Lonchura striata: one gene and its partners. The protein of the gene in region 3 binds, or shares a complex with, the protein of the main gene of each other region. Links are inferred from orthologs where the notes say so. Each region holds a gene or a part of one and is shown on either strand. Other genes may lie near its edges.

Evidence for each region.
Region 1: the proteins of GIPC1 (region 3) and PLXND1 are in contact, whole or in part, in a crystal structure (PDB 5V6T), measured with the Mus musculus proteins. The link is inferred for Lonchura striata from reciprocal best matches to the Homo sapiens genes GIPC1 and PLXND1. Residues at the interface, in NP_061241.1 of Mus musculus: His61, Glu141, Ala142, Leu143, Gly144, Leu145, Thr146, Ile147, Thr148, Asp149, Asn150, Gly151, Phe156, Lys158, Arg159, Arg190, His191, Tyr192, Glu193, Ala195, Arg196, Leu198, Lys199; in NP_080652.2 of Mus musculus: Glu1400, Met1889, Glu1893, Arg1899, Gln1902, Gln1904, His1905, Glu1908, Ile1918, Tyr1919, Cys1921, Tyr1922, Ser1923, Glu1924, Ala1925.
Region 2: the proteins of GIPC1 (region 3) and MYO6 are in contact, whole or in part, in a crystal structure (PDB 5V6E), measured with the Mus musculus proteins. The link is inferred for Lonchura striata from reciprocal best matches to the Homo sapiens genes GIPC1 and MYO6. Residues at the interface, in NP_061241.1 of Mus musculus: Glu273, Ser274, Tyr275, Met276, Gly277, Ile278, Arg279, Asp280, Glu282, Leu283, Thr286, Asp310, Phe311, Ala312, Pro314, Glu316; in NP_001034635.2 of Mus musculus: Ser1055, Lys1056, Trp1057, Lys1058, Tyr1059, Ala1060, Arg1084, Arg1085, Leu1086, Val1088, Tyr1089, Trp1092, Lys1093, Asn1096.

The regions. Positions count from the first base shown.
Region 1 is NC_134614.1:23,986,400-23,990,144, forward strand, and holds the start of PLXND1 (plexin-D1), read right to left. Parts: upstream 3,005-3,745; coding exon 1,661-3,004; intron 1-1,660. UniProt on the Homo sapiens protein: Cell surface receptor for SEMA4A and for class 3 semaphorins, such as SEMA3A, SEMA3C and SEMA3E. Plays an important role in cell-cell signaling, and in regulating the migration of a wide spectrum of cell types.
Region 2 is NC_134605.1:82,985,963-82,989,707, reverse strand, and holds the start of MYO6 (unconventional myosin-VI), read left to right. Parts: upstream 1-1,340; 5' UTR 1,341-1,429; intron 1,430-3,745. UniProt on the Homo sapiens protein: Myosins are actin-based motor molecules with ATPase activity. Unconventional myosins serve in intracellular movements. Myosin 6 is a reverse-direction motor protein that moves towards the minus-end of actin filaments.
Region 3 is NC_134623.1:2,226,086-2,229,830, reverse strand, and holds the start of GIPC1 (PDZ domain-containing protein GIPC1), read left to right. Parts: upstream 1-1,180; coding exon 1,181-1,450; intron 1,451-3,197; coding exon 3,198-3,383; intron 3,384-3,745. UniProt on the Homo sapiens protein: May be involved in G protein-linked signaling.

The DNA of each region.
Region 1 (3,745 bases), on a different chromosome or scaffold from region 3:
GTAAGGTCAGTTGGTACTAGAACCCAATCTCCCCACCCATCTTATATCACCACTGGTCTTACTGCCGTCTCTACATTAACAAATTTTCTTGCAACCTGATCTTGCCATGGTTGCAAACACAGAGGGTTCCCTCTGACTCCCAATGGCTTGGCAGTGCTCAGTTATTTTAGCTCATTCCCCTGACCCTCATTTCCTGTTGCTCATCCCTTCAAGAACATAACATCCTCCTCAGCCTTTATGGTGACAACACACTCCTGGTCCCCCTCCCTGCCTACCCAGGTAGTACTTGGAAAGGTGCTACCAAGAACACACATTACAGTGGAACAGTGTGACAAGCTGGGACCAAAGATGGAGTGAAATCTCATCTTTGCGTAGTCTCCTTTGAGTCACTCATTAATTAGCTGTCTAAATACCTTACTAGATACAGCATTTGATACTTTCAACATCAGTAGACTGGTGTTAGTCATGATTATTTTCTTTACTGAACAGAAGTTAGAAAAAACTGTATCTCCACAGCAGTCCTGGAGTCCTGGGGAAGCTTAGGGGTGATGGGTACATCTGCCTCTGCGTTTCAGTTATGGCCAGGCTGTTTGTTCACCTCAAGTGCCTCCAGCAGCCCTAGCCCCGATGCTGCTGCTTGACCCGCCTTGGCAGAGAGCTCAATCCCACCCGGGGCTGAGGGGCTGCTCCGCAAGGATGCTGAGCATCAGCCACAGCCAACAAGAACTACGGGTGCCTTCACACCCTGTAAATAGGATTCCTGACTCCCAGTGAGTCCTCTGAGAGCCGTGACCATGCCAAGATGTCAGGACTGAGCTCCCAGTGTTTAACACACCCAGTCTTTGTGGAATTAGCTCCAACTACTAGATTTGCTGGCTGTCAGGCAGCTTGTACTTTGTCACCAGGGAAAAACTGTTCAACTTTGCTAGAGTAGGTCTATGAACCAAGTGCATTAAGAGTACATATTTTACCACAGAGTAGAGATGCCACACTAAACACTTCGGTTACCATGGGAAACCTTTCTCTCTTTGCCACTGGCATTGCACAGGGAAGCCCAAGCCCAAATGCTCGATCTCGCCTCTGAAATCAAACAGATGTTTTCACAATCTTTGATGGAGCTGAGCTGTGCACTCGTCCCAAAGGAAGGTAAAAATGCAGCGTTAAAGCAGCCCTTTTCCCCTCTCTTTTTTCCCAAGCATGATATATTTTTAGTGAAAAGGGAAACAGGCGACTGTGTCTCGCGCTAACATTTACGGCCACTCAGTAACAAATTGTGACAACAGCAAACTTCTGCCACGAACTCGGGGAGCCAAGGCTGCCTGTGTGCCGTCCCTGGCAGGGCTGTGCGCCGCGGGACGGGACATAGAGCTGGCGATGCCCACAGACATCCGGGCGCGCAGGGCACCCACGAGAAGTGGGGCACCGGCAACCAGGTTAGGAGAACGATGCTGTCCCCGAGCAGGGGAGAGGGTCTCCGGGGAGGGCAGCGGGGTATGAGGCTCAGCCGCCCGCCCGGGGGACGCGGGGGATGCGCTCCAGCTCGGGAGAGGTGGAGGCAGCAGCGGCCGCGGGACGGGACACGAGATGCGGCCGCTGTCCACCGCCGGCTACCGGCTCCCCGCGCCCCCTCGCCCCGGCAGGTGTCCGCCGCCCGCCGTACCTGTATATTTCTTTTCTCGCAGGCCGGGCCGGTGCCCTGCACCACGCTGTCCAGCACGGTAACCATGCCGGCGGCCGGGCTGACGAAGCAGGAGTTGCGGGCGGCCCGGATCGTCTCCTCGATCTCGGCGAAGCGGAAGACGCAGAGCGCGGACTGCGGCCGGCCCCGGCCGCCGCCGGCTCCGGCCCGCTCGAAGACGCCGAAGAGCAGCTCCTCGGGGGGCGGCGGGGCCAGGGCCGGGCCGTGAGGGGCAGCGGGGCTGCGCCAAGCCGCCCGCGCCGGGAAGACGGAGACGAGGCGGGTGAAGGCGTCGGCGGCGCCGCCGCAGCGCAGCCCCAGCTGGATGTAGGACTCGGTCAGCTTCTTGGTCTCGCCGCTGCCGTTGAGGGTGGCCTCGGCTGGCTCGCCCAGGCAGATGCGGGCCAGCAGGCTGTGCGCCGGGCTCTCCTTGTCGCCCGCGTTAGCCTCAGTGTTGAGCGCCAGGTAGGCGTACGGGCGGCGGGCGGGCGGCGCGGCCCCGTGCTGCAAGAAGGCGCGGACGAAGCTGAGCTTGTGCCGCGCCTTGTCGCCCTGCTTGATCTTGAGGATGTTGTCGTCGGAGGGGTTGATGTCGAAGGTGAAAAGCTTGGCCAGGTCGCCGCGGGCGTTGAGGGCACGGATAGCGATCTCGGGCGTGTTCTCGAAGCGGTGGTCCTCCAGGCTGCGGTTGCGGGGGAAGAAGGGGCTGCCGAAGCCGGTGTAGGTGGCGGCCACCAGCAGCCGCGCCCCGCCGCCACCGCCGCGGCGCAGCACCAGCCCCACGGTGGAGGCGTTGGGGTGGTTGGCCGCGACGTTCAGCATGCTAGGGAAGACAGCGACCGAGTCGCTCCCGCCCGGCGGGAAGCGCACGGCCACTGCCGAGATGTTTGCCATGCTGCGCAGCTGGCAGAGGCCCTGGTAGATGGAGCCGCAGACGACAAGGACGCCCTGCTCCGGGTCCGGCTGCAGGATCTTGTTGTAGTTGTTGGTGAGCACCCTGGGGTGCTCACAGGAGGCCTGCGGCAGCTGCGGTGCGTGGCACAGCGGGCTGTCCAGCACCGGCCCCACCGCCGCCTCCGCCTCCAGTGCCAGCTCGCCCCCCGACAGCTGGAACAGCCGGTTGACGGCCGCCAGGTAAACGCGGGAGCCGGGGCCGTCCAGCGCAAAGTTGTTGGTGAGGGTGGGCGAGAGGAACTTGCGCTGCACCTCCAGGCCGGCGGCTCGGCCGGGCAGGAGCAGCGGCAGCAGCGGCAGCAGCAGCGGCAGCAGCGCGGGGGGCCGCGGCTCGGCGCCTGCCGCCGGAGCCGGGAGCGGAGCCGGAGCCATCCCGCCGCCGCGCCGCACAGTGCATGTGCCCGTCGCCGGGCGCGGGAGGGGCGGGCGCGGGGCCGCTTCCTGCGGAGGCAGCGCCCGCCGCCGAGCGACGCCCGCGGGAAGTGGCGGCCGCGGCGGGGGGCGGCGGGGGGCGGCGGGGCGCGCGGCCGCGCCCCTTCCCTGCCCCCGCCCTCCGCCCGCCCCCGCGCCCGCCCCCGCGCCGGTACTCACCGCGTCCCGGTGCCGCGGGCCCGTCATGTGCGTGCGGTGAAGTTACCGGTGTCTCCCGCGCCGCCGGCTGGGCGGCACCGAGCGGCTCAGAGGGGCTTCGGACAGGGCGTCCCCCCGCCGCCTGAGGGGCTGCTCCGGGCTGTCCCCCTTCTCTGCTCTGCCTCCTTCGCGTTTTCGACCAGGACAGGCCGGGGGGGAAGGGGCGGGGGAAGAAGCACTTTTCCCAGCTGCGGAGCAGCGCGGCGAGCCGGAACAGCCCCTCCCGGAGCCCCCTCGCACCCCCCGCAGCCCACACATCCCCCCGCAATACCCGCTCTCTCGCTCCCCGGGGACCGGGCGGGGGACGAGGCCCCACCCCTGCAACGGCTCTGCCCGCACCACTCGTCAAAAGTACAGCTCGGACTGCGCGTCTCCTCTGCCCTCCAACGGGCGCCTCTTTAACAAAAAAAGACCCAAAGAAGTGATTTCCCAAATTATACACACTGGGATGATGTAGGGGACAGCCCTTGAACCACAGCCCCA
Region 2 (3,745 bases), on a different chromosome or scaffold from region 3:
GAATGTTTTAAAGACCAAAACAAGTTCACAGCACATTTCAGGAGTTGTAGGAATGTTAATCTGGACGCAGGATTGAACTCCACCCGTACTCCACACAGGATGCAGGATTACTCATGCATCTAATGTACTGCCATTTTCCTTCCATGTGTACATCCACTCTGATCCTTGACAGAACCCCCTGAGTTTCTCTAGGTTGCCCCTAAAGAAGCCCCTGGGATTTCTCTTTGTCCTCTGAAAGAGGCTAAGGCGTTGTTACGACAATCATGTCTACATGGGCAGCTATGGCTTGAAGAAATCTATGTAAATTATTTATTAGCTAGTGGCTGTACCCACAACGTCCCTGGTGTTGTCCAAACACTCAAAAAGGATGCAGTGAAACACACCTTGCTTAAAGAAAGGTAGCTGGGGCTGCAAAATCAACGAAAACACAAGATTTTGAAGTATTAACTGGTTTGTTTCACTTTGTCAGCAAAAGACGTATGAACGAACCATCGGGTGGAGAGCGAGGAGGCTTTGCACGTACAGTCGGGGTCATTGTGCTGCTCATGAACCATTGTGGCGAGAGAAGCACGGTGCTACGGGAAAGCTGACAAACCAGCTGGCGACGCCAGGAATGAATCGCGGTAAAGCCAAGGGACAGGGAGGTGACGCAGAGCTGCGGCTCGGGAGGGGTGGCTGTGGGTAGCCCCAGCGGTGTGACGCCCCGGCCGAGCATGATGCAACGATGCAATGCCGGGCCGCTGTCCCCGAGCCGCAGCAGCCGCAGGGATGGATGGCTGGGTGAGGCACACGCCGGGGCAATCCCGCGGAGCCGAGGCTGCCCCGGCTGCCCTGCAGGAGTGCAGGGGGCACGGGGCTGGCAGGCCACGCTGTTCTGCCACGCAGCAGCGGTGCCACCATCGCTGCTCCCAGCCCTGGAACCTCCGCCCAGGCGGGACCCTGGGGACACGGCAGGGACGGCACGGGGCCGGGGCGAGCCTGGGAGAGGGACCGGGCTGACACAGTCTGACTTCCAAGCTTTGTGCAGCAGGAGAGCCGCCACCTGCTCGGCACCTTTCTTGATGGGGCGACGGTCAGGAATGACCCCTTATGCAACCGCGTCGGTAAAAAATAATGGAAGAGGCCCAGCTCACAAAGTAGCCGTGGCCAGCCCCTCAGCACCACCGTGCGCGGAGGGCGCGGGCTGCGGGCTCGGCGCGGGGCCGGGGCTCCCGCCGGGCAGCCCGAGCGGAGAGAAGGCCGGGCCGGCCTCCGAGCCGCCGCCCCGCCGGCGCTGCCCCCGCCCCCGGCCGGCCCTGTGGCGGTGACGTGCCGGGCCGGGCCGGGCCGTGCCGGGCGGCGGGGGCGGCGCAGAGCGGCGCGGCGGCGGCGGCGGCAGGGTCGGCAGCGAGCGGGGCGCCGAGCGCAGCAGCAGCACCTCCAGCAGCAGGTAAGGACGCGGCCTCTCCGCCTCCGCCGCCCCTCCTACCCGCGGCGGGAGGCGCCGGCCCCCGGCCCGCCGCGGCTGCCCCCGCCGCCCCTCTCGCCCGGGCAGGTGCGGGCCGGGCCCTCGGCGGGGAGCGCTCCGGCCAGCGCACCTCGGGACCGACCTGTGGAACCGCAGCTCAGAATCCCTCCGGAGTGCGCGTTACTTCCTTAAATTAGCTGTCATGGAAATTCTTTCCTTTGTGGGTTTGTTTGGGTTTTTTTAGTATCATCCTCTGTGAAATTCCATCCCTGCTGGGCTCCCCTCCTTGCTTCAGAAACACTTCTGTGCTGGTGGGATCGTCCTTGTAAGTGAAAATAAAATTTTTATAGCCTTTACTGACCAGACACAGTACGACTGGTAGTTCAGTGGAAAAACGTCTTTTCAGTGGAAAAACGTCTTCTGGAGTATTTCTGCTTGAAGTACTTTTTGCAGGCTGCGGTTTGGAGAGCAGCGTGTGTCACCGTGATGTACAACTAAAATCCAATACCCCGTTCCTCTGTCTTGCATCCGTTTCTGAATAGGAAAGCTTGAAACGGTCTCCTTAATGGTCTAGAATACGACCTGCAGTGCAGCAAATGTACTGTTGGTGCTTGCCCGATACTTGGCTCCAATTTACTAGTTTTGAACTAGTAAATGCCACCAAGGCCTGTAGGATGGAGGTAGCTGAACTAATAGCTGGCTGCTTCTGTAAAAGGATGGTTGTCATCTGTTGTTTCAGCGAATACTGCTGACTGCCAGCCCTGTTTTTACAAAGGTGCAGAGAAGTAGTACGTCGGGACTTGTGCCCTGTGGTGCTCCCGGAGGGAACAGACCTTTGAGGCGACCTAATTCCTCACAGTTCAGTTGGCATCGCCGGGCTGCGGGGCGGCCTATGGACTGGGTTCACAGCCATCCGAGTACAAAGGTTGGCTGCGGGACTGAGTCTTCCTTCTTTTACAAGTGTGACAAATTAACAGGGTGGAGATGAACTCGCGAGTTAAATGTCATCTGCGTTTTTTTAACTTTATTTTTTAGCGGAAAAAAAAAAAAGCGCCTAATAAAAATAGAAATATTTTAATTTTTTAAATGTTAATTATGAAAATTTAAAAGTATAGGCAAATGTCTTGCAGTATTTGTTTAAATATAATAAAACTGCTAACACACAAGTTAACTCTTAAATGTATGGTTTATAAAATAATTGCAAAAGAAAGATCTCAGTGTTGTTAAGATGGGAGAGTAACTATCAGAATTATCAGAGCACAAGTCCCAAACTTTTGTGTTGTTGCTTTTAATAACATAGAAATTAAGATTTTGCTTGACTGTATTTTTAGTGGATGGGTTTTTAATGTGTCTCAGTTAATAAACTATTTAGTGAAGGCACAGTTATGCCTTTGACTATACAACTATAAAGCCAGCAATGCAAATATAAAGGCAGTAAACTTTCCTGCGAGGCTGAATAGCTTTCTGAATGAAAACCATGTCAGTATTGGCAGAAATTCTAAGTTGAACTAATTTCCCCACCCCCATTATTTCTAGTCAGATTCCTCTATAATCTGCACTAAGTACTGTGTCTTTCAGCCTCCGGCATTGCCATGTGCTTTTGTTTTGATAATAGGTCAGTATTTTGACCCATTAACAATAATGTTCTCATAAGGAAGGTGAAATAGTGCTTCCTTGTGCCTGGTCCACCAGGGTGGAAGTGGCTTTGTGACCCAATCTAACCTTTGCATTTTTGTGGTATTTGATAACACTGGTCTGAGGAAAGATTTCAGGTATTAGAAATTTTGACAGTCTTATGAGTGATGTGGCAAAGTTGAGTATGGACTAACTTTTTATCAGAACAAAATGTGAAAGCATATGATTAAGCTGGCAGGTTCAAAATGAACAAAAGTGGTGTGTTTTTGGTTTTGACCCAATGTGTGGTTAGTTAAGCTTTGGAAATCCTTTCTGAAGCATGTGGATATTGAAAGTTTACAGGGACTTTAAAAGCAGCCGGACAAATTAATGGAAGAAAAACCCACTAAGGCTAACTTGTGTGGAGTACCTGAAGTAGCTCAGGGTGTCACCAAGCTGAGCACAGAGCTGGGATAATAGGTTGGGAAAGTACTTTCAATTATTTATCAAATTTATATATTAATTTCAGGCATTAACATAGTGCAGACAACAGATCTGCTGTCTGACCCAGTAGGACTGCTCTTAGGAAAATTGTTCAACTGAAGTGAGTTTTTGAGAACAGCTGAACCAAAGGGACGAGGTCGAGAGATAACAACTCTGAGTGATAACTCTCAGGAAATGACT
Region 3 (3,745 bases):
AAACACCCCGGGGACACCGGGACCCCCCAAAAACACCCCGGGGACACCGGGACCCCCCCAAACCCCCCCGGACCTCTCAAAGCTCCACCGGACCCCCCCAAAACCCTTCCTAGAACCCCCAGACCCCCCCAAAATTCATTGGGACCCCCCCAAAACCCCTCTCAGAACCCCCGAAACCTCACCAGACCCCCCCAAAACCCCCCAAAACTCCGCTGAGACCCCCACTGATCCCCCCAAAACCCAAAAACTCCGCTGAGACCCCCACTGATCCCCCCAAAACCCCCCAAAACTCTGCTGAGACCCCCACCGATCCCCCCAAAACCCCCCAAAACTCCGCTGAGACCCCCACCGATCCCCCCAAAACCCAAAAACTCCGCTGAGACCCCCACTGATCCCCCCAAAACCCAAAAACTCCGCTGAGACCCCCACCGATCCCCCCAAAACCCAAAAACTCCGCTGAGACCCCCACCGATCCCCCCAAAACCCAAAAACTCCGCTGAGACCCCCACCGATCCCCCCAAAACCCAAAAACTCCGCTGAGACCCCCACCGATCCCCCCAAAACCCCTCAAAGCCCCCCCAAAACTCCGCTGAGACCCCCCCAGAAGCCCTCCTAGACCCCTCAAAGACCCCAAAACTCCGCTCAGACCCCCCAAAGCCCCCCAAAACCGCTTCTAGACACCCCCAGACCCCCTAAAACCCCTCAAAGACCCCCCAAAGCCCCCCAAAACCCCCTCCTAGACACCCCAAAGCCCCCCAAAACCCCTCAAAGCCCCTCCTAGACCCCCAAAACCCCTCCTAGACCCCCAAAACCCCTCCTAGACCCCCCAAAACCCCTCCTAGACCCCTCCAGCCCCCTCAAAGACCCCCCAAAGCCCCCCAAAACCACTTCTGGACACCCCCAGACCCCCTAAAACCCATCAAAGACCCCTCAAAGGCCCCCAAAACACCTCAAAGACCCCTCAAAGCCCCCCAAAACCCCTCCTAGACACCCCAAAGCCCCCCCAAACCCCCTCAAAGGCCCCTCCAGCCCCCTCAAAGACCCCCCAAAGCCCCCCAAAACCCCTCCTAGACACCCCAAAGCCCCCCCAAACCCCTCAAAGACCCCCCAAAGCCCCCCAAAACCCCTCCTAGACCCCCCAAAGCCCCCCCAAACCCCCTCCGAGCCCCCCCGGCCCCCCATGCCGCTGGGCCTGGGCCGCCGCAAGAAGCCGCCGCCGCTGGTGGAGAACGAGGAGGGGTCCGGGGGGCGCGGGGGGACCCCGGGGGAGCCCGGGGGGGCCCCGGGGGGGGTCCCGGGGGGCGCGGCCCCCGCCCCCGGCCTGCGGCCCCGCCTGGTGTTCCACACGCAGCTGGCGCACGGCAGCGCCACCGGCCGCGTCGAGGGATTCGGCAACGTGCGCGAGCTGTACGGCAAGATCGGCGAGGCCTTCGGCATCCCGCCCAGCGAGGTGAACTGGGAGCACTGGGAGGGACTGGGATGGGATTGGGATGGACTGGGATGGGATTGGGATGGACTGGGATAGACTGGGATGGGATTGGGATGGACTGGGATGGACTGGGAGGGACTGGGATGGGATTGGGATGGGATTCGGCAACGTGCGCGAGCTGTACGGCAAGATCGGCGAGGCCTTCGGCATCCCGCCCAGCGAGGTGAACTGGGAGCACTGGGAGGGACTGGGATGGACTGGGAATGGGATTGGGATGGACTGGGATGGGATTGGGATAGACTGGGATGGACTGGGATGGGATTGGGATGGACTGGGATGGACTGGGATGGACTGGGATGGGATTGGGATAGACTGGGATGGACTGGGATGGGATTGGGAGGGACTGGGATGGACTGGGATGGACTGGGATGGGACTGGGAGTGACTGGGATGGACTGGGAGGGACTGGGAGGGACTGGGATGACACGCTGACCACCCCAGTGTCCCCATGTCCCAGTGTCCCCTGGTGCTGTCCTGTCGCCAGGTGAGACCCCAGGTGACACTGAGGTGACACCCCAGGTGTGTCCCTGACCAGGTGACACCCCAGGTGCTCACCTGTCCCAGGTGCTGTTCTGCACGCTGAACACACCAATGTCCCCAATGTCCCCAATGTCCCCAATGTCTCCAGGTGACACCCAGGTGTGTCCCTGCCCCAGGTGACACCCCGGGTAACACCCCATGTGACACCCAGGTGACACTCAGGTGACACCCAGGTGTGTCCCTGCCCCAGGTGACATCTCAGGTGACACCCGGGTGACACTCAGGTGACACCAGGTGTGCTCACCTGTCCAGGTGCTGTTCTGCACGCTGAACACACCAATGTCCCCAATATCCCCAGGTGACACCCAGGGGTGTACCTGTCCCAGGTGACACTCAGATGACACCCAGGTGACATCCCAGGGGTGTCCCTGCCCAGGTGACACCAGGTGACAACCCAGGTGACCACCAGGTGTGCTCACCTGTCCAGGTGCTGTTCTGCACGCTGAACACACCAATGTCCCAATGTCCCCAGTGTCCCCAGGTGACACCCAGGGGTGTACCTGTCCCAGGTGACACTCAGGTGACACCAGGTGACTCCCAGGTGTGCTCACCTGTCCAGGTGCTGTTCTGCACGCTGAACACACCGCAGGTGGACATGGAGAAGCTGCTGGGCGGGCAGATCGGGCTGGGGGATTGTCCCCAGTGTCCCCAGGTGACACCCGGGGGTGTACCTGTCCCAGGTGACACTCAGGTGACCCCCAGGTGTGCTCACCTGTCCAGGTGTTGTTCTGCATGCTGAACACGCCAATGTCCCCAATGTCCCCAGGTGTGTCCCTGCCCAGGTGACACCCCAGGTGACACTCAGGTGACACCAGGTGACACCAGGTGTGCTCACCTGTCCCAGGTGCTGTTCTGCACGCTGAACACACCAATGTCCCCAATGTCCCCAATGTCCCCAGGTGACATCCAGGTGTGTCCCTGCCCCAGGTGACATCTCAGGTGATACTCAGGTGTGTCCCTGCCCCAGGTGACATCTCAGGTGATACTCAGGTGTGTCCCTGCCCAGGTGACACCCCAGGTGACATCCCAGGTGCTCACCTGTCCAGGTGCTGTTCTGCACGCTGAACACACCAATGTCCCAATGTCCCCAATGTCCCCAGGTGACATCCAGGTGTGTACCTGTCCCAGGTGACACTCGGGTGACCCCCAGGTGTGCTCACCTGTCCCAGGTGTTGTTCTGCACGCTGAACACGCCGCAGGTGGACATGGAGAAGCTGCTGGGCGGGCAGATCGGGCTGGAGGATTTCATCTTCGCGCACACGCGCGGCCGCCAGAAGGACGTGCAGGTGCTGAAGGACGAGGAGGCGCTGGGGCTGACCATCACCGACAACGGCGCCGGCTACGCCTTCATCAAGGTGAGACACACCTGGGACAGGTGAGACACACCTGGAGACACACCTGGACAGGTGAGACACACCTGAGATAGGTGAGACACAGCTGAGACAGGTGAGACACACCTGAGATAGGTGAGACACACCTGGGACACAGCTGAGATAGGTGAGACACACCTGAGATAGGTGAGACACACCTGGGCACACCTGGGCACAGCTGGGGCTGACCATCACCGACAACGGCGCCGGCTACGCCTTCATCAAGGTGAGACACACCTGGGACAGGTGAGACACACCTGAGATAGGTGAGACACACCTGGAGACACACCTGAGATAGGTGAGACACACCTGAGATAGGTGAGACACACCTGGGACACAGCTGAGAT